Nothobranchius furzeri: one gene and its partners. The protein of the gene in region 2 interacts with the protein of the main gene of each other region in a pairwise test. Links are inferred from orthologs where the notes say so. Each region holds a gene or a part of one and is shown on either strand. Other genes may lie near its edges. The genes, in order: gtf2a1, nfyal and zc3h10.

Region 1 (6,710 bases), on a different chromosome or scaffold from region 2:
AGCTGTGGTCGCAAGGTAGCCGGTGCCAGTTGTGGTGGCAACCCCCGTAACCCGCTGGTGGACACCAGAGGTTCGGGGAGCCGTCAGGCTGAAGAAGGAGGCCTACAGGGTGTGGCTGGTCTGTAGGTCTCCGGAGGCAGCAGACAGGTACCGGATAGCCAAGCGGGGTGCAGCAGTGGCAGTTGCCGAGGCAAAATCTCGGGTGTGGGAGGAGTTTGGTGAGGCCATGGAGAAAGACTATCGATCGGCTCCAAAGAGGTTCTGGCAAACTGACCGGCGCCTCAGGAGAGGAAGGCAGCAACTCGCTCTCACTGTTTACAGTGGGGATGGGGAGCTGCTGACGTCAACTGGGGCTATAGTTGGACAGTGGAAGGAATATTTTGAGGAGCTCCTCAATCCCACCTACATGCATTCCGAGGAGGAACCAGAGCCGGGAGAACTGGGGATGGACTGTCCAATCTCGGGGGCAGAAGTTGCTGAGGTTGTCAAACAACTACACAGCGGCGGAGCCCCGGGGGCGGGTGAGGTTCGTCCTGGGTATCTCAAGGCTATGGATGTTGTAGGGCTGTCATGGTTGACACGTCTCTGCAACATTGCGTGGTCATCAGGGGCAGTTCCTGTGGAGTGGCAGACCGGGGTGGTGGTCCCCACCTTTAAGAAGGGTGACCTGAGGGTGTGTTCCAACTATAGGGGGATCACACTCCTTAGCCTCCCTGGAAAGGTCTACTCCAAGATACTGGAGAGGAGGGTCTGATCGAAAGTTGAATCTCAGATTGAGGAGGAGCAATGTGGTTTCCGTCCTGGCCGTGGAACTGTGGACCAGCTCTATACCCTTGCAAGAATGATGGAGGGGGCATGGGAGTTTGCCCAACCAATCCATGTGTTTTGTGGATTTGGAGAAGGCTTATGACCGGTGGGTGGCTTTCTGTTAAGGGCCATTCAGTCCCTTTACCAGAGGAGTTTGAGTTTAGTCCGCATAGCCGGTAGTAAGTCGGACCTGTTCCCAGTGAGGGTTGGACTCCGCCAGGGCTGCCCTTTGTCACCGGTTCTGTTCATTACCTTTATGGACAGAATTTCTAGGCGCAGCCATGGTGTGGAGTGTGTCGAGTTTGGTGGCAGGAGAATCTCGTCTCCGCTTTTTGCGGATTATGTGGTCCTCCTAGCTTCATCCAGCTCTGACCTTCAGCTCTTGCTGGGTAGGTTCGTGGCAGAGTGTGAAGCGGCTGGGATGAGGATCAGCACCTCCAAATCTGAGACCATGGTTCTCGACCGGGAAAGGGTGGCTTGCCAACTCCGGGTCGGGAGAGAGGTTCTACCTCAAGTGGAGGAGTTTAAGTATCTCGGGGTCTTGTTCACGAGTGAGGGAAGGAGGGATCGGGGGATCGACAAGCGGATGGGTTCGGTGTCTGCAGTGATGCGGACGCTGAGCCGATCTGTCGTGGGGAAGAGGGAGCTGAGCCAGAAAGCCAGGCTCTCGATTTACCGGTCTATCTACGTCTCAATCCTCACCTATGGTCCTGAGCTTTGGGTAATGACCGAAAGAACGAGAATGCGGATACAAGCGGCCGAAATGAGTTTCCTCCGTAGGGTGGCCGGGCTCAGCCTTAGAGATAGGGTGAGGAGCTCGGACATTCGGGAGGGACTCGGAGTAGAACCAGGACATGTTGGAGAGGTTACATCTCCAATCTGGTCCGGGAACGCCTTGGGGTCTGCTGGAGGAGCTGGTGGAGGTGGCCGGGGAGAGGACGGTCTGGAGCTCCCTAGTTGGGATGCTGCCCCCACGACCCGTACAAGCGGAGGAAGACGATGACACATCCGTTACCTCCTCCACCTGCCCGTCTTCTCCACCATCCTTATCCTTCTCCTCGTCATCATCGTCATCGTACTCCTCCTCCTCGTCTTCGTCCTCCTCCGAGGACGTGTCCCCGGCCCCGTCCACCTGGAGCATCATGGGAGGCTGCTGTGCCTGCAGCTGAGCCTGCTGCTGGGCCTGAGGCTGCAGTGGGGCCTGTGGTGCAGCTGCAGCATGGGCCTGCTGGACCTGAGTCGCTGCTCCTCCTGCTGCTCCTCCTGGTGCTGCTCCTGCTGCCTGACCGGGCTGAGGCACCATGGCTGCCGCCTGCATCACCTGAAGGGAAATAACCCCCAGAAGGGACAGAGTTGGTTGATGAGGCTAGAAACAGAACAGGAGATTTACAAGGGGCCATGTTCTGACCTGTGCATTGTCTTGGACCTTGTTTCCTTGAGCCAAGACGATCTGCTGTGGCTGGATGATGACTCCCGTTTGCTGAGGCAGACCTCCCTGAAGAGGAGCCAGAACCTAAACACAAATTAATTAATGTCAGGGGGGTTTCTTTAGGGTGGATGCATTCCTCCTGCAGGTAGCGAGTGAGCTCCAGCTCGGCTCAAACTCTCTTCGGGACGGTTGCAGAAGCAGTGCTTGTCCGGGACTTCAGCAGGTCTCCGAGTGTTTATTTATTTATTTGCCGTTGGTGGCAGCTCTGTCTCGACCAAGGACTCTGGCTGCGCAGCAGCTGACGTACTGAAAACCAAAGTGCTCCCAAAGCAGCGAAGTAACGTTTCGTTTTGATACCAGTGCAGCCATCCTTCTCTACATGCATCATTGAGTTGAATCACGTTCAGTAATCGCGGTGGCCCATGATGCAGCGCGGTGGGTTTCTTCATATTGCGATATTTCATTTTTGCGGTTACCGTGACGGCCCTAAATATCAGGGCTGGACAATAAATGGAAAATTTATCGTGATCAAAATTTCTGACTCTTATCCAGACTTTTCCCACGTCAATAAATTTGATAATACAAAAACGAAAAGATGTGTGTAGGTTGGCAACATTCATGCCCCTTAAAGAGCCGTCTGCGGGTCTACACAGGGGACCTCCAGACGAGGTGCGTTTGTGCGGGTTGCGCCGGTTCTGACTAATTTATTTATTTATTGTACTGTCGGTGGTGTTGGGGAGGTCTTAAAAATCCTCTCGAATGTTGGAACTGGTTAATATGTAAAAGCTGGCCCCACCCCACCCCAAATATTTTCTCATCAGATCGGCAAGGACTCATTTGAGATTTTAAACAGCAAAGTTTGCCAAAAGGTGAGGGGTTTTCATGCCCGGGTAAATGTATCAGCACCTTATGCTGCCTCACTGCCACCTAGGATTGACTGATTAGTGTTTGTTGTTAGCCTCAAGGGCAACCTGCTAGCTTCCTTATCACCTGTAAGTCGCTTTGGACAAAAGCATCTGCTAAATTCATAAACATAAATGTCTTGAGATGAATGTTTGTACTTAGTGCAGCTTTTTCTGCTGAATGCTCATTAAGTGTTCTGCAAAATAAAGACAGCAAAGTTATTTGTCTTTTTTTTTTTCAGTCTGCTGATCCCAGAAATGACCCGATCCGTGACTCGAAGCCGTGATATGATCCGAGCCGTGAGTTGCTGGAGCGGCTGCACCGCTACTTTTAATCAAAACCAAATTCTAACAACTTCCATAAACTGATTTGTTCTATAATACAGTTCAACTAGTTAAATGGCGGTACCTGCTGTATGACCGGTGCCTGCACACCACCAGACTGCATAGGCTGCTGCAGCACGATGGGCTGTTGGGACTGCTGAATGATGTACTGAGCCCCATTGGGAGCGCGCACCACCTGCAGGATCTGACCTGAGTCAGCGAAAGGTGAAGGAGAAACATCAGAGCAGTGAAACGGCTGAAACACCAGTTGAGTTGAGTGCAGCACGAGGGCATGGTGGTGTTACCCTGCTGAGTGATGATCTGCTGGTATGGAGTGACACCTGTAGGTAAAGCCAGAGTTGCTGCAGTGGCTGCTGCGCTCTAGTGGAGGAAAACAGAATATACACACATCAGCTCTACAAAACAGGCTTCTAGAGGTCTAGACCAGGGTCTTCAACTAGATTTGTCTGTGCCAGCAGACACTGTGAGGGTCACATGCTTTTCTAGAATACATTTAAATGATTAGTTTATTGATATAATAATTATTATTATATAATAATCACATTGTTTACATGTAGCCACTATTCGGGTTTTGATTGGTTTTAAGATCAGCGTTATTGTTTCTGAAAACTTTGGAATAACGCGTTCACGTACAGTGTTTAAAAGTGCGGGTGTTGAGATTTCTCTGAGGTAAAAAAGATGATAAGTATTAAAGTACTCTAGGGGTATCGGGGGCATGCCCCCTAGAAAAAAATTATTGGACATTTTGTATTTAAACACATCAGTCTGGTGCATTTTGGGGGGTAAAGGTAGAGTTACAGGCTGGTAGGTATGTATGATAAAGTATCTATACGTGTTCATTATAATGATATATTTGAGTTAACTATGTTTTCCTGTCCTTTCTTAATCCATTATGAATCCACTGATGCATGCATGCTGCTCAGCACCAGAACTGCACTAGGTACCAAAAGAACCAATCAGCTGGCAGAGCTCCCTGTTGAACGTGTGAGCTGCAGAACTTGCAAAACTACGTGACTCAATTTAAGGAACAAAGTAGAATCCAGCTGCGGTTATTTAATTGTTGTTGTTTATAGAAACTAAATACATCTGCAGGGCTTTAGGCCCAGGGCAGAGTTTTAGACCTCAGACCAGCTTTAGATCATGACCTGTTATTATTAATATGTTCTTTACACCAATCTGAATATTCTGTAATGTTCACAGACATCCAAACCTTAGAAATGAAATATAATCAAAATTAAAATAAAGATTCTGGTCCACCATCCAGCGCCTCGGGGTGGGGGTGGGGGGAGCAGTGCGCTACCAACACTATCTATAGTGGGGACGGTGTGCTGCTGACCTCTACTCAGGATGTTGTGGATCGGTGGGCAGAATACTTCGAAGACCTCCTCAATCCCACCGACACGTCTTCCAGTGAGGAAGCAGAGTCTGGGGACTTTGGGTTGGCCTCTCAAATCTCTGGTGCTGAGGTCACTGAGGTGGTTAAAAAGCTCCTCGGTGGCAAGGCTCCAGGGGTGGATGAGATCCGCCCGGAGTTCCTTAAGGCTCTGGATGTTGTGGGGCTGTGTTGGCTGACGCGGCTCTGCAATATCGCGTGGGCATCGGGGACAGTCCCACTGGACTGGTGGTGGTCCCCTTATTTAAAAAGGGGGACCGCAGGGTGTGTTCCATCTACAGGGGGATCACACTCCTGAGCCTTCCTGGTAAGGTCTATTCAGGGGTTCTGGAGAGGAGGGTCCGTCGGATTGCTGAACCTCAGATTCAGGAGGAGCAATGTGGTTTTCGTCCCGGCCGTGGAACACTGGACCAGCTCTATACCCTTAGGGGGATCCTGGAGGGTGCGTGGGAACTTGCCCAACCAGTCTACATGTGTTTTGTGGATTTGTGGATACAGTTTTTATTGAATAATTAGAATAAGAAAAACTTTTCTCTGATGAACACCAAATCCCAACTAGCACTGTCCTCAAAAATGAGCACACGATGCACTCACCATCCCTGTTGCACTCATGTGCTGAAGAAGCTTAGGATCCCGAACAATGACTTGCTGCTGCGGCGCTGCAGAGAAAATTAAAACCCTCCTAATCAAATGTGTGTCACGGATAGTTTTTGCTGCTGTACATCAGCTTTTGAACGCACCTTGCTGCTGCTGCTGGGGGGGCAGGATGACTTGTTGGGTTTGTGCTGGCTGAGTCACCTGCTGAACATGCTGGATGTGCTGCTGCTGCTGCTGCTGGGAGGCCTGCAGGGCTGCCTGCTCATCAGAGTGGAAGCCCTCCACTGCCTTGGACTGGAGCAGTTTATTCTCCCATAGCTGTGCCAGCAGATGGAGAAGATTTGGGTTACAGGACTGCTTATGAGATTATTTAACCGCATGTTAGAGATGCTGTGTGGACAAAATGTACTTCTCAGGCTAGATTTTAAAAGATAAATAACCTAAAATCACCAACTAACAACTAATGTTATGTGGTAAAGAAAGAGCAGAGGACCATGTTGGGGTCAAAAAACTGTTTATAGCTCCTGGTCTGGTAGACTAAATGTCCTCTGGAGAACAGATCAAATCTAATCACTGCAGCTCCTTCTGCTCAGTCTCAGAGTACCTCCCACTTATGAAAGTTAGAGGCAGAGACCTGCGTTTTCCATCCATTAAAGCCATTAGTTTGCCTTTTGATTAATGATGGCTGCCCCTGTTGCATCTGGAAACCATCTCCTGCAGAAAACGTACCGTTTTCAGCTCGTGGAGAACCTGCTCGTCCACTCCTTCATCCAGGAACAGCTCCCGTACCTCGCTCATGACATCTTCAATCACAGACCGGTACAATTTAGGCTAGGATGACATAAGAGAAAAAAATTTTTTGTTCAGATATTAACATTATTTATTAACACAATTATTAATTTGGGATAACTAATCACGATCGTGGTGTTTTTTGTTGGTGTAACTTCACTACCAGCCACTAAACATCTTTATTAGACCCTGTAATCCTGTCAGGTCAGCATAAATGCTTGATGGTTCAAGGGGTGGGGCCACGGGGGAATGGCCCCTGCTGAAATTTGACAGGCCCCCTGAAGTAACCCTGCTTGTCACCTTTATACAAAGATCAGATTATAGGCAGATGCAATTCCAAGTCCAAACACTAGTGGTGCTAATGAGCCAAAAAGGAATTTGGGTGTTTTGTTTCACTCACATACTGAATTTAAGCGTGTTGCATTTACTCTAGGAGCATTTGTTAAAC
Region 2 (5,991 bases):
GGCTCCGCGCGGAAAAGTTGCGTCATTTTTCGTCATTTTAACAACCACGCCCCTCCACCGCGCCTCCGGACGGCCCAGAATTTCCGCAACGCGCACCTCGGAAAATTTCTAACCACGTGGACGGACGGACGCGGAAAAACATGGCGGACCAGCAAGAACTAGTATGGCAGAGGTTCATAAATACAGACATTTGTATGATTCAGCTCTCAGAGATCACCGTGATCAACATGTTGTTAATAATTCTTGGAGAGAAATAGCTCGCAATGTCGGAAAAGACGAGAATGCTGTTAAAAATGCTGAAATGCCGTGTTGTAAACAGTAATTTCTACTTCTACTATGGTGTAGTGTTGGATGTTTGCCGTAGAGCTCCATGCTGCCCCGTTCAGTTTGGGAGAATATTGGCTCACCGCAGAGACGAGCCGCACGAACCATAAAAGCTGCGAGTTGTGAAGCGCGTTCCATCCGCGAGCCGCATCACCGCGCGGAAAGTGAATGCGTCAAGCATAAACCAAGCTTCAGACCCACACCGCCCTTAAAGTTGGGCAGACCTCTATCAGAAAACACACAGCATCAATACACACACACACACATATATACACACACACACACACACACACACACATATATATATATATGTATATATATATATACATATATACATATATACATATATATACATATACATATATACATATATACATATACATTATATATATATATATACATATATAATTAAGATTTTGAATAATTAATTCAAATACTATTTACGCTTCCAACACACGTGTGGTGACTGGTGAATTAATGCATGCGTAGGAACAAATATGACAAAAATAACTGAAAACAACTGGGTGAATGGTTCTCATGTTCTGTGATTAGTGATTAGTACAAGGACACGTGGTGAAAAGGTGACTGTTGATCAAAGTAATTTTAAAAAAGAGCTACTCTTGTTGTGAGATCTTCCCCACTCTCCACACCTTGGTGCTAGTCTAGATTCAGAAAGAAAAGCAGAGTAAAAAGATGTTGGGTACCTCAGCACAGGGTCTTACCATGACCATTCCACCTGCATTCACCATGTTGCCAGAGACGGGCAGGGTGACGGTCACAGTGCCTTGGCCGCTGTTGGTAGTGTTGGTGTTGGCGCCCCCTGCCTGTACAATCTGGGCCCCTGCCAAACTGGCAGCAGGGATTGTGATCATTCCTGTGCACACGTAACACAACTCAAGTCAAAATCACGTCTCATTAGAATCTTTGTTTAATTTTAAATCTAATTAAAGAAAAAAAAAAGTACCCTGCTGCAGGACAGAACCATCTGCATTAACAGGCTGGTAGACGATGGTCTGTCCGTCTGCTGTCTGAGCGACCTGCTGACCCTGCACGCTGATCTGCTGGCCCTGATAAACAGGTAAACGTCAATATCAACGACTCTGCATCAACACACAAGTCATAAAAATATAAAAGTCTGTAAAAGGAACACAAAGAACATCGCTGTGCTCAGCACTAAATTCTCACAACAGAATTAAATCAACACATGCAAACTTCCTGCAGCACAACTCAATTCCCAACTTTCATCCAGATGTACTAGTAGTACTAGTTCTAATAGTAGTAGTGGTCAGCGCTTATGAGCTTTAAAACATGATTCAGCATTTGGGAAAAATCTCTAAACTGCTAAAAACATTCAAACAAGCAGTTTATGAGCTACATAATATTTTATATTATTGTAATTTGAGAAGGATAACAAATACCTGGTTCTGTCCAGCGGTGATGGCTGTTTGAGGCTGCTGGATGATGATCTGCTGGGGTTGACCCTGCTGACCCTGGAGCTGGAGAGTCTGACCACCTTGCAGCTGTATCTGACCAGGCTGCACCAGCTGAATCTACAAGATCCAACAGTTCCACCCTCATTGTGGCTTTCTTTACCAGTCATAATGAGACTGAATTATGTTACTTTTTTACCTGCTGCAGCCCTTGAGCTCCAGAAACAGGAACCTGCATTATGGTTTGACCCTGACCCCCCGACATGGCCTGCACCATGATGGGCTGTCCTGAAGAAGTGATGAGCTGCCCACCACTCACTTGTACCATCAGAGGCTGTCCCTGGACCTGCGAAGGGACACCGAGCTGTTACAGCATCTCTAAGACTTTACCTCCAAATAACGTACACGTGACTGGCAAAGCAGCATGCAAGTCAAACAACAAACGCCAAGGATGCCATTTAATCATCCGGTACATTCCACCTATTTTAAAAGTTTAGGCTGCGATATGTGAGATGATCCAACTTGATCTACCGCTCTAACCGCACTGTGAAAGCAGATGTATCACACAGAAAAATGACGGTGCAAAAAAAATAATAAAAAAAGCATTATGTAAGATTTAGCTAAAGGATGCAACGTGCCTGCAGCTGCAGCGTTTCCATCCTTCAGTACAGACTCACATCATGCACACTTCCAGCAGTTAATGTTTGCATCAAAGAAGAAGTTCAGACTTTCTGAACTTGCTTTTAAATGCCAGAGTAAAAAAAACCAACTCAGAAATGACAGCACGAGCATTAGCCGGAACACACGCTGCTGAGGAACATGCAGTACAGGTGGTTGCAGGGGAACGCTCAAAGGGAGGTGATGAACCAGACAGCACTGATGGGTCATGGAAACAGCCCTGGAGGCAGCATGCAGACGGGAAGCTAGCTTAACGTCTGTGGGACAGGGTGGAGATGACACCACTACCTGGAGTGTCTGCACCTGCTGGCCTGGAGCCTCAGCTTGCAGCTGCACAGCCGTCACTGTGCCTTGTGTCTGCAGGCAAGGCAGGACAACACAGTCTCAGACAGATACAGTTAAGCCCAAAATTGTTCATACCCTTGCATGTTCCTTTATTGTTTAAAGGAAAATGTCTGCTCTGGAGGGAAACATTAAAAACAAGAAAACCACTGTGAAGAATAGAGAAAAGAATGTACCTGAATCTAACCAAACTTATGCTGTTCCCAGCTAGGCCTCCATAAAAACATGATCACTGCTGTTAACCAGAACTTCTTTTGAGATTATTATGATGGGAAAAGTTCTCAAGAAGATCAGGACCAAGTTTTCGTTCAGCAAAGTGTCTGATTGTCCCAGAATGTGATGATTTCTTAAGTTTATACAAAGTCCAACCACAAGAACCAAGGCAATCCTGATGAATCTGAGCAATTCTAGTTCCTCCAGCAAAAGAGCAGCCATATTCTACAGAAAATGTTAGCCATGAGCTACGCTAGCAGTCACTTAAGCCTGAATCATGCTTCTCCGTCAGCTCCAACAGGGAGAGACACGCACGCATGGAGGTGTTTTGCCCTCATACTTCTCCGTCTCCTGGAGAGTGTTGCTAAGCAATTCCCCACCAGGACAACAGAGGGCGTAGCGCTGTTTTGTGGTATCCTGTCATGTATCGGTCCAAGATCGTGTGTTTATATTGTTTTTTTTTGTATATAAGAGACTTTTTAACATGGACAAATTTGTCTCTCCTCCTCCTCCACCTCTTCATGCGCTCGCCACCTCTAAACCCACGTTTCCTGTCATTTCCAGTCACATTCAGTTCCTGACTGGGACCAGGAAACGGGACCACATCAGTCCGGTTCTGGCCTCCCTGCAATGGCTTCCTGTTTGCTATCGTTCACACTTCAGACTCCTCGTCTTTGTTTTTAATTACTTCCAGGGTGGTGCTCCCCCCTATCTGGCCACACTCCTGAACAGACATTCCCCATCACACGCTCTGCGCTCCTCTGACCAAGGCCTGCTCGTTGTCCCTCGTTCTAGGTGTCGTACCCGTGGGGACCGGGCTTTCTCAGTCCAAGCACCGTCACTCTGGAACCAGTTGCCACCCTCAGTTAGGCTGTCCCCATCTCTGCCAGTCTTTAAGAATCACCTAAAAACACACCTCCTCTGCTTGGCGTTTCCTGAACATGTTTGAATTTGGCCCTCTTTTATGTTGATTTTATCTCACAGTTCTCATTGGTTCGCTTTTTCCCTTGTTTTACACATTTGTCTTCTACTAGAATGTTTCACATTTTTTTGTAAATTGTAATCTGTAATTTGAATTGCTTTTATTTTCTGATTTATTCACTTTATTGAACTTTGTACTGTACCATGTTCAGCGCCTTGGGCTTCCTGACAGGGTTGCGGAAGGCGCTTTATAAATAAAGCTTTGATTTGATTGATTGATTGATTGATTTCCGTCCACAAATAAAACGCTTGCTGCGTATCTTTTCACTCCTCCAGTCACGAGTTAAGATTCTTCCAGCCGTCTCATAAACTTGTACATTAAATTTCTCAGAAGTGCCTTAAATGTGCACACTCTCAAAGAAACAGACATCTGACTAGCACTGCCTCCCCTGGGAATTTTGAGGAGGATTCTCATTGCAACACTGTATGCCACCTGTAGCCGGTGCAAGCTAGACTTGTTATAGAATGACCACAGATGTGCAGTATATAGTGGTGTGCAGTATGCATTAAATAATGCCACTTTAACAGGTGTGGAACAACTGCTAAATTTCCATGCAACGGTGTTTGCTTGCACGTATAGCTTGCAGCACTGCCTGTAAATGTCATCATCGTCGCTCATATTGGCTGTGATAAAGTGTCCAAGATATTTTATCTTTTCACAGACCGCAAGACTGTTGCCGGACAACTCAAACACAGGAAAATTAAGCATTTTATCCTGGGTGGTTCTGTAGATGAGCACAGCACTATTGCTCGAGTTACATTTTAAATCATATTCCATTCCATACCCAGTACTATCATCTAGGAGTAGCAGCAGTCCTGCATTACTTGGGCTAAAAACTACGAGGTCATCCGCATACATAAGGCGATTAATCAAAACATCACCTATCAAACAACCTGCGTTACAAGCTCTCAGACGCCCAGATAACTCATCGACATATAAATTGAACAAAACAGGAGATAAATTTCCACCCTGCCTTATCCCATTGGACACTAAAGGGATTAGAAATACTCCCTTCCCATTTAACATGCATCTTCTGGTGGGCATAGCAATAGGCAAGCACTATCACAACACCTCCAGGCACACCCCTTTGCTTTAATTTAGTAAAAAGCTTTTTATGATTCACTCGATCACATGCTTTGGAGACATCAATAAAACTCATGAGAATAGTAGAATTTTTTTGACCTAAATAGATTCACTATTTCCTTAAGAGCATAGATACACATATCCGTACCATGCTTAGACTTAAAACCAAACTGATTATCAGAGGAAAATTACCCCTTAGTAGGGGTAGACCGATATTTACTGTTTTTTATACATCAGCTGATATTTGTCCTTAGCAAAGCCGACTCAAAACCAGGCACATCCTCGAGCAGCCCGGTGCTGTTGCAGCATTTATCTTAAATGTATTTTTAACACTCTAACTTAACTTTATTTAGATGTCTGACTTTTATGCTGAGCAGTGCACAAAGTTCAGATTTAACAGTCAGTTACATTCAGAGTTGAAAAACTAATTCAGCTTCAAAAAATGTGTGCATCAGCGGATGTTATTAGTGACATTTTAGCATGAAAACAAGGTGAAAGATGTCTAGATAGATATCGACCGTGGAAGTCAGCCCATAAAAAAAATCAGCCATCGGCTGGCCGTCGGTATCTGCAACAGAAAAAACAATATCGGTCGACCTCTAGGCTTTAGCAATAAAGAGTTCGGGAGGTGAAAAAACAGATTAAATTTCTAATTCATGGATTTCCCATTAATCTGATTATGCTGAATATAAGAGTCGTCTCTCAACATTTTATGGACCTTCAATATGCCACAGCAGAGAGTTAAAATGTTAAATTGTTGCATTGATTTACAGAACTTTTATTTTATAGAACAGCCTTATCTGGTACAAAACACATTTAAAAGCCCATTTAAGTGGTTACAGTAATCTACTTTGTCACACCTGGCATTTCCAACCAGGAGAAACATAAATAATAAACAACAAATAAATGCATTAAAATAGAAGGGTTAGAGTGACAGGA
Region 3 (7,479 bases), on a different chromosome or scaffold from region 2:
TGTGTGTGTGTGTGTGTGTGTGTGTGTGTGTGTGTGTGTGTGTGTGTGTGTGTGTGTGTGTCGAACTTACATCTGCACTAGTCAGGAAGAGCTCCAAAGCCGGATTTTTGCTGAGTAGGCGGTGTGCAACAACCTGCTGCAGAAATGTTTCCAGCGCCCTGCAGTAGGGCTGCCACTCTCCTAAAGCCAGGAAGCCTGAAAGGAAAACATCCAGGACAGATTTTATTTAGTGAGATCTATTTTAAAGAGTCGTTTTATTTCGTGTTCATGTCTGCTCACCCAGCTGTTTCATAACTTTGGCAGATGCGTTCACCTGAGGCCTTACTGGAAGAGGAGGAAACTTAAAAACAAACAAAGAGAGCACCGTTTCTCTTCCCCACACCAACGTTACTCTGACAATAAAGAAAGCCAGGCTGCACATGCTAACGTGGGAGGAAGCGTTGCAGATCATAAAAATCAACAACTAAAGTAAAAATGTCCACTTGATTTTCTGCATCAGCTTCCAGGAAAAAGGTCATTTTCCTGTTTAAAGAACAGCAGGAAGTGAGGAAGTGCTGAGAATGTGAGAATTAAACGACTGATTAATTATTTCACTTTTCTTAGCACCTGGTGTGTTTTCTTATGTTCACGGCTACAGCAGGAAGTTTAAAAAATGATGACAAAACACAAATTATCCCCCCAAAAAAGCAGGAAAATCCACAAAGTCATGGTATTTAACCTCTTTATTAGACAAAAAGAGATTATTAAGAAAACACAAAGCACTCACGATGACTCCCTGAATCCCGGGCACATCCTCCTGAGTGTACAGGTGCTGCTGGAGCCACTCAAAGTCATCATAGGTGCGGTCCACGTGGTACTCCCCTGTCCCAGAGAGCTGGATTAGACCACAGATTAGGATTTAATTTCAGGATTATTATCATTTAAATACATGAATTACAGCTAGCTAAGAAACCTTTGGAGTTTTCAAATCAAGTATTTTTACACCTTTTGAGACACGATTATGAAGGTAAGAGTGTCCCCGTCTTGCAGGACCTCCGTAACTTTGATGGTGTCCCCATGGACGCTCCCTGCAGACACGTCCTTTACCTCTTCCTGCCAGGAGAAGAAAAGTGAATTTAGATTAAAGGCAAGAAATTAATCTCCTTCTTCTGCCGTCAGAGTCTGGGTTCGTCACATGACCCTCTCAGGATTTTAGAAACTACTTACCATCATCGTTTGAGTCGGGCTCTGTAAAACCCCTCTGTCTTCTTTTATCTCAGTAGAACTGCCAAGCTTGGGAGAAGTTTTCCAACTGCTCGGGCTACAGCTGCTGAAGAGGAACAGGATGTCCTCTGGGTCAAAGTGCACAACGGCCCCGAGAGACGTGAGATGAGTAGAACTGTAAAGTGCTGGTGCAGGGAAACACTGTGGATGAGTAAATGTTCTGTTACCGTGTGACTGTGAACACTCCCACAACAGAGCCGTAACGCTCCGGGCTGGTCAGCTGAATATACAAGACATCCCATAAAGGGAAAAGCTCCTCAAGGTCATATCTCAGTTAAACTCGACACATTGACCCGAGGCACAACGGGAATGAAAAGCTTTACTCTCCCATAAAAATGGAAATTTACACGCTGTTGTCCATCTGGCCACAGATTCTCGTCCACATCACAGCAGATACTTTCTCTTGTGATGCAACGAGGGAAGAAACGGCGTGCATGCCGCAACCATCCCCTGCATTGATCTCCTGTAATGTCGTCACACGCTGCGTCCATAGCATGGAGTAGGGGCGGCTGATCCTGAGCATGATGCTCACACACTCTCCACCTCAGAGATGAAAAAAAAAACTCCTCTATCGGATTGAGGAAAGGAGAGTAAGGTGGTTGGAACTCCATGGCCATCCTTGGATGTGTTGCAAACCAGCCCCCAATGAGTGGGCTAAGGTGGGAATTGGCATTGTCCCACACAATAACATAAATGGGTAGGTGAGGCCCTATGAGACCTCTCTCATTTTCTGGGATAAAATTAGAATAAAGGCGATCCGAGAAGATGAGGAGCTTGTGTGTGTTGTATGGACCAAGACTGGAGATGTGAGTGGCCACACCATCGCCAAAAAATGGCAGCACACGATCATGGAAATCACCTGTGTGACGCTTCCTGTTCGTTAGTCTAGTATCACCTGACTGTCAATGACTGTCATCAATGTATCAAATATTCAAAGAAATCCATATATGGTATTCATGGTATTATGTTCTTGACCAATTCTGACAATTGAACAGACAGTTGTGCATGCTGACATGTTTTGGAGAGAATGATCATTGGACTGAGAATCAACTAATCAGTTTAGATCTATTCATTTGGAAAATGTGCTAAATGTGGGCTAACTGCATAACAGTAGGCTACATGTACTTAATCATTTGCAAAGAAGCACTGAGACAATTGAGACATGTACTAAGGCATTTGCAATTTGATAAAATGAATGAGAAATTCTGTTGTGAACATTTGCCAAGAGGTTTGGAAGTTTGTCCATGTTATTTTTAGAATGTAATTTCTGTTTCAAGAAAAGAGCCAAACCAATAGAGAAAAACTGTAATTGTTTTCCTTTAGTCCACTTAACCAAAGTAAGTTGTGTTTGCATGCTAATAAATTAATATAACGGTTGAATTAAGTTTGTTTAACTAAGCTCTAACTATGTCAAAGGAGGGTGAACCTCAGCAGCAGGACCACACAGGCTGGTATCCACAGGAATTCTTTAAGCTTTAGGAACAAAGAACTACACAAAGGAAGTTTTCTAGAAGCGAACAGCTGTTCCCATGCTGTTTGACAGCTGGTTTCTACTCAAAGGCTTTTTAAACTCACTAACAGACAGAAATCACGTCAAAATTCTCCATGTTTATAAGACCTGGTCTGAGTAGCTGCTAAATTCTATAAACACCTTTTTTTAATGGAGTTTGAATTGATTTCCCAGATTTACGGTGTACTCGTTGTCTTTACCACTAGAGGGCAGAAGACATCAAACCGAGAAAAAAGTAGACGAGGAAGAAAGCAAGTCTTCTTCGTTGGTGGTTAAGGACGCAGCTAGAAAGGTGGTAAACAGCACCGAGCCTTAACGCACTCCCCCCAACATAACTCGTATTCAGTTGTTAGCTGAGTTAATGTTGACGTTTATTGGTTCCCCTAGAAGGCCTTTCGTACCTGAAACCGGATCTGGTGAGAAGTTTTAAAAGCTGTATGTTTGCTTTTTCCAGGTTGCTTGTTAGCATTTAGCCGTGCAGCATTAGCGAGGTCGTCACACCATTTCAAACTGACCTCATGACCTAATGAAGTCGTCTGCGTTGTGAATTGGGCGGTTTCCTTCAGGTTTAATTAGTTCTTCTTAAGCAGGAGTAGGCAACTCTGGTCCACGAGAGCTCCCATCCGGGAAGTTTTAGTGGTTTCCCTGCTTCGGATCACCTGATCCAGTGGTTGCTCAAACCCTGCTGAAGCCTGCTAACCACCCGCTGATTAAGAACAGGTGTGTTGACGCAGAGACACGTCTGTTGAGATGTTTCTCATAAGTGTGTGTGTGTGTGTGTGTGTGTGTGTGTGTGTGTGTGTGTGTGTGTGTGTGTGTGTGTGTGTGTGTGTGTGTTTAGAGGTTTCTCTGTCACAATACGCCCGATTTTAATCAGTGGAAGAATAATTGGGTTTTGCAAAGCTTGATGACCTGCTGAACTGGTGATTCAACCGTTGAAACATGTTTTGGGAGCAGAGAAACAACTAAAACATGCTGGGAAGTGCCTTGGGGGACCTGAGTTGTTTCTCTCCGTCCTAAAGCAACAGTGGTGCTACTTATTATGTACAAATTCAAGTCACCTAGATCTTTCTTAGTTGTGTATGCAGTTAGCTAAACTTATTTTGGGGTTTACTTTTACAACATTTGTTATATTTGACTTCTAAACATGTTGAAAGGAACTCAACTCTGTTTAAAATTCACCCTTGATCCAAACTGCTGCAGCCACAGATTAGGATGCGGAGCCGTTAGGTTTCAGATTTCTGCTGGAACAAGCCCACAGGCAATGTTTGAATTTCGGTTATTTTTTTAACTTTTATTTCTGAATTAAATATTATATTTTGATTTAAAATATTTGTTTTACCAACTGAGTTATTTAACTTACTTAGATGTTTTTATTTTTTTGTATTTCTCTTATGAACCTCAAAGGTCTATGGACACAAGTTTAATTGAGTTTCTGTGGGATTTTTGTCTTGCAGTTCTGCGTCATTTACTTTTCATTCCTCTGGGATAACTTAAAAACGTTGGTGACACCCTGACCTGTGTATGTGCATGTTTACCAGGATTGATCGGGCACCCTTCACATACACATGAGTCCTGATTTCTCTCTGAGCCGGGTCAAGCGCCATGCCTGACCGGGACAGTTCCTACCTGTCTGGTGGTGGTGGGAGTGGTGGTAGCCTGGGTGAGGAAGGAGGACCAGGATCAGGTTTGGCAGGGGGCTCAGCGGACGGCCGAGGTGGTTCTGGAAGTGGTGGAAACGTCTCTGGCTCAGGGGGCATGGGTGGAGGGGGTGCGCCCGGAAACACTAATGGATTTGGGAATGGCGGCGGAGGGGGGCAAGGTGCAGGACTAGCGTTGGATGGAGTCTGCAGGGACTTCATACGTAATGTGTGCAAGAGAGGCAAGCGCTGCCGCTTCCGACACCCAGACTTTAACGAGGTTCCGGACTTGGGAGTTCAAAAGAACGAGTTCATCTTCTGCCATGACTATCAGAACAAGGACTGCATGCGCTCCAACTGCCGCTTTGTCCACGGAACTAAAGAAGATGAGGACTATTACAAGAAGACTGGAGCGTTGCCCCCCAGACTAAGAGGAAAAGTCGCTGCACGAATGGGCCTCTCTCCGATGGATCTCCCCCTAAGCAGGGAGGAGGTTCCCATCTGCAGGGACTTCCTGAAGGGAGAGTGCCTGAGAGGCAATAAATGTAAATTTCGTCACGTCCAAAAGGACTATGAATATGAATCTCTGAGGGCTGGGGTGGGGGGTGTTGTGGGGCAGGGCGCGAGTGGGATCGTGAATGCTGTTGGAGGAATAGGAGGGGGAGGAACTTGCGGAGGGATTCAAGGACTTGTGGGAGGTGGAAGTAACATGGTGGGGACTGGCTGCACCAGCCTGGGTGGGTGCAGGGATCCAGGCTTTTCAGGGGTTGGGGGGATAGGTGGAGGTGGAATGAGTGGTTGTCTGTCCATCGGGTCTTCAGGACAGAGACGCTATGAGAGGAGCATGTGCTCTGTGTACGACCCCCTGCTGGAGAGTGGGCTGTTTGATGCTGGTTCTCTGGAGGCTACTATAGACCATACTGCTCTCCAGCTGAAGAGGCGACGGCTAGAGAGCCTACGTCTGACAGACGGGAGCGGAGGGGGACACTACGAGTTGGGAGTTCAAGCCACCCTTCAACCTCGTCCTCTGGAGTACAGATTCCTCGAGGAGGAGAACTCCCTGCTGAGGAAAAGAGTGGAAGAGCTGAAGAAGCAGGTTAAAAAACTAAATTATTAGAGATTAACAAAGGTTTTTAATATGCCGTAATTTCCGGACTATAGAGTGCACCTCAATATAAGCCGCACCAACAACAAAAAAAAAAGGTTTTCTACACACACGCCGCACAAGCCACGGCGCAGCAGCCACATGCAGGTCTACGGTGCACAGCGCATGTACGGCCATAACATAAGATAATTAGACAGAAAGACGCTACACGGAGGGTTTTCGTTGTTTAAATTCAACAAAATGGATTTTAAACACGGGTGAACGTGCCTGCAAGTTTAGAAAAGAAAACAGCACTGATAACATTCATATTTCTGGATGGTTATAAAATAAAAACAGAACTGACACGTTATTACCGGTCATTTGCATGTTTAGATGAAAAGAACAGCGCTGACACAGCATTAATAAGCCCTGGATGATTAGAAAATAAAAACTGCACACAAAGCATGCCTGGTTAGTAAATAAAACACTTGCCTACCAGAAAAAGTCATTCGCTCTCATCTTACTCTTGTGCACTAAAGCCATTAAAGTCCTCTTCTTCAGTGTCGGAGTTGAACAGCCTCAGAAGAGCTTCGTCACATACCTTTTCTGTGGCGATGTCGGTGTCGCTGGCCGTGTTGCTGTCATCATCCCCGGGTGAAGCTGGCTTGAATGAGTTCTTCCCGCTGCCGTCTCCAGCGCTGAACCGTGGATTCATTCATGCCAAGCTTACGTGCGGCAGCACTGTTTCCCTCCTTTACTGCCAGATTGATGGCCTTCAAATTAAATGCGGCATCATATGAACTCATAGTTACCATGATGAGGGGGTATGGATTTGAAAAAAAAAATCTTCTTCGTGCCGGCTGCTTGCATGTGCTAAATTAAAATGAGCACTTTCTTCGATTTCAACTTTTGACTTCCACCTGTTTCACTTTCTGCTAAAGCGCCCCCTGGCAGGAGAAGGAAAATCTTCAGTAAAGCCGCACCTCATTATAAGCCGCATGGTTCAAAGCATGGGGAAAAAAGTAGCGGCTTATAGTCCGGAAAATACGGTACAAAACATGCTTAGAGGTCAGCTTACCGATTTATTTAATCAGCTCTGCCACAGTCAGTGTTTGAAGTTAGAAACTGTGTTTGTTACAAAACAATCCTTTACACGTCTGGAATAATAGTTTACAGTTGGCTAAAATAAAAATAGAAAGTTTCTATATTATTTTCAGACATTTAGAAAATACACAGATCTGAAAGCTTTAACTGGGAGCTTCTTCTAAAACAGTATTTTCTACATAGAAGAGTACAGACTCTGTTGGCAATATTACAGCTTAATACAGATTCATCATAAAGTTGGAGGGAAAAAATGAAAAGTAACTGTATGACAAAAAGTTGGATGATATTCAAATTGTTATAAAATACATTTGTTTCATCTTTGAGTATGGTGGAGGACAACACATGAGACACGTGTCTCTTGTTATTTTAAATCCTTGTCTCTTGTGTTTCTCAGGTTTCCAATCTCCTCGCTACAAATGAGGTTCTCCTGGAGCAGAACGCTCAGTTCCGGAGCCAAGCCAAGGTGATGACGCTGACTTCCACTCCTGCGCCTGCTGAGCAGAATCTGGCTCCTCCTGTGGGTGCAGTAAGCTCCTACAACCACAGCATTGCTCAGACTCACACCACCCTCAGCAGCGCAGGACTGCAGCCTCGGCCTGTCACACAGCAAGACCTGGTCGCTCCCACCGGTGCCCCTTCTGCTCCGCCATCTAACGCAGCTCCGCCCACAGCCCCTCCACCACACCTCAACCCAGAGATCACCCCGCTCTCGGCAGCCCTTGCACAGACTATTGCACAAGGAATGGCTCCGCCTGTTTCTATGGCGCAGGTGGCTGTATCTGTGGCACCAGTGGCCGTGTCCATGACGCAGCCTCTGCCGGGCATCACCATGAGTCACGCCACCACTCCGATGGTGTCGTACCCCATCGCAAGTCAAA

What was found.
Region 1: the proteins of nfyal (region 2) and gtf2a1 interact in binary tests that used the Homo sapiens proteins (3 or more experiments, as listed by UniProt). The two-hybrid records come from large-scale screens. The link is inferred for Nothobranchius furzeri from reciprocal best matches to the Homo sapiens genes NFYA and GTF2A1.
Region 3: the proteins of nfyal (region 2) and zc3h10 interact in binary tests that used the Homo sapiens proteins (3 or more experiments, as listed by UniProt). The two-hybrid records come from large-scale screens. The link is inferred for Nothobranchius furzeri from reciprocal best matches to the Homo sapiens genes NFYA and ZC3H10.

Annotation. Positions count from the first base shown.
Region 1 is NC_091742.1:19,643,876-19,650,585, reverse strand, and holds part of gtf2a1 (transcription initiation factor IIA subunit 1), read right to left. Parts: intron 6,305-6,710; coding exon 6,203-6,304; intron 5,792-6,202; coding exon 5,617-5,791; intron 5,536-5,616; coding exon 5,471-5,535; intron 3,844-5,470; coding exon 3,768-3,843; intron 3,673-3,767; coding exon 3,548-3,672; intron 2,321-3,547; coding exon 2,216-2,320; intron 2,129-2,215; coding exon 1,823-2,128; intron 1-1,822. UniProt on the Homo sapiens protein: TFIIA is a component of the transcription machinery of RNA polymerase II and plays an important role in transcriptional activation. TFIIA in a complex with TBP mediates transcriptional activity.
Region 2 is NC_091755.1:28,373,902-28,379,892, forward strand, and holds part of nfyal (nuclear transcription factor Y, alpha, like), read right to left. Parts: intron 2,790-5,991; coding exon 2,718-2,789; intron 2,101-2,717; coding exon 1,954-2,100; intron 1,875-1,953; coding exon 1,743-1,874; intron 1,392-1,742; coding exon 1,289-1,391; intron 1,199-1,288; coding exon 1,029-1,198; intron 1-1,028. UniProt on the Homo sapiens protein: Component of the sequence-specific heterotrimeric transcription factor (NF-Y) which specifically recognizes a 5'-CCAAT-3' box motif found in the promoters of its target genes.
Region 3 is NC_091743.1:49,724,443-49,731,921, reverse strand, and holds the start of zc3h10 (zinc finger CCCH domain-containing protein 10), read left to right. Parts: upstream 1-3,042; 5' UTR 3,043-3,189; exon of another isoform or gene 3,190-3,335; intron 3,336-4,230; 5' UTR 4,231-4,378; coding exon 4,379-5,509; intron 5,510-6,995; coding exon 6,996-7,479. Other genes in the region: si:dkey-28n18.9 (sorting nexin-5), read right to left, coding at 71-195, 280-340, 767-874, 985-1,092, 1,207-1,212. UniProt on the Homo sapiens protein: Specific regulator of miRNA biogenesis. Binds, via the C3H1-type zinc finger domains, to the binding motif 5'-GCAGCGC-3' on microRNA pri-MIR143 and negatively regulates the processing to mature microRNA.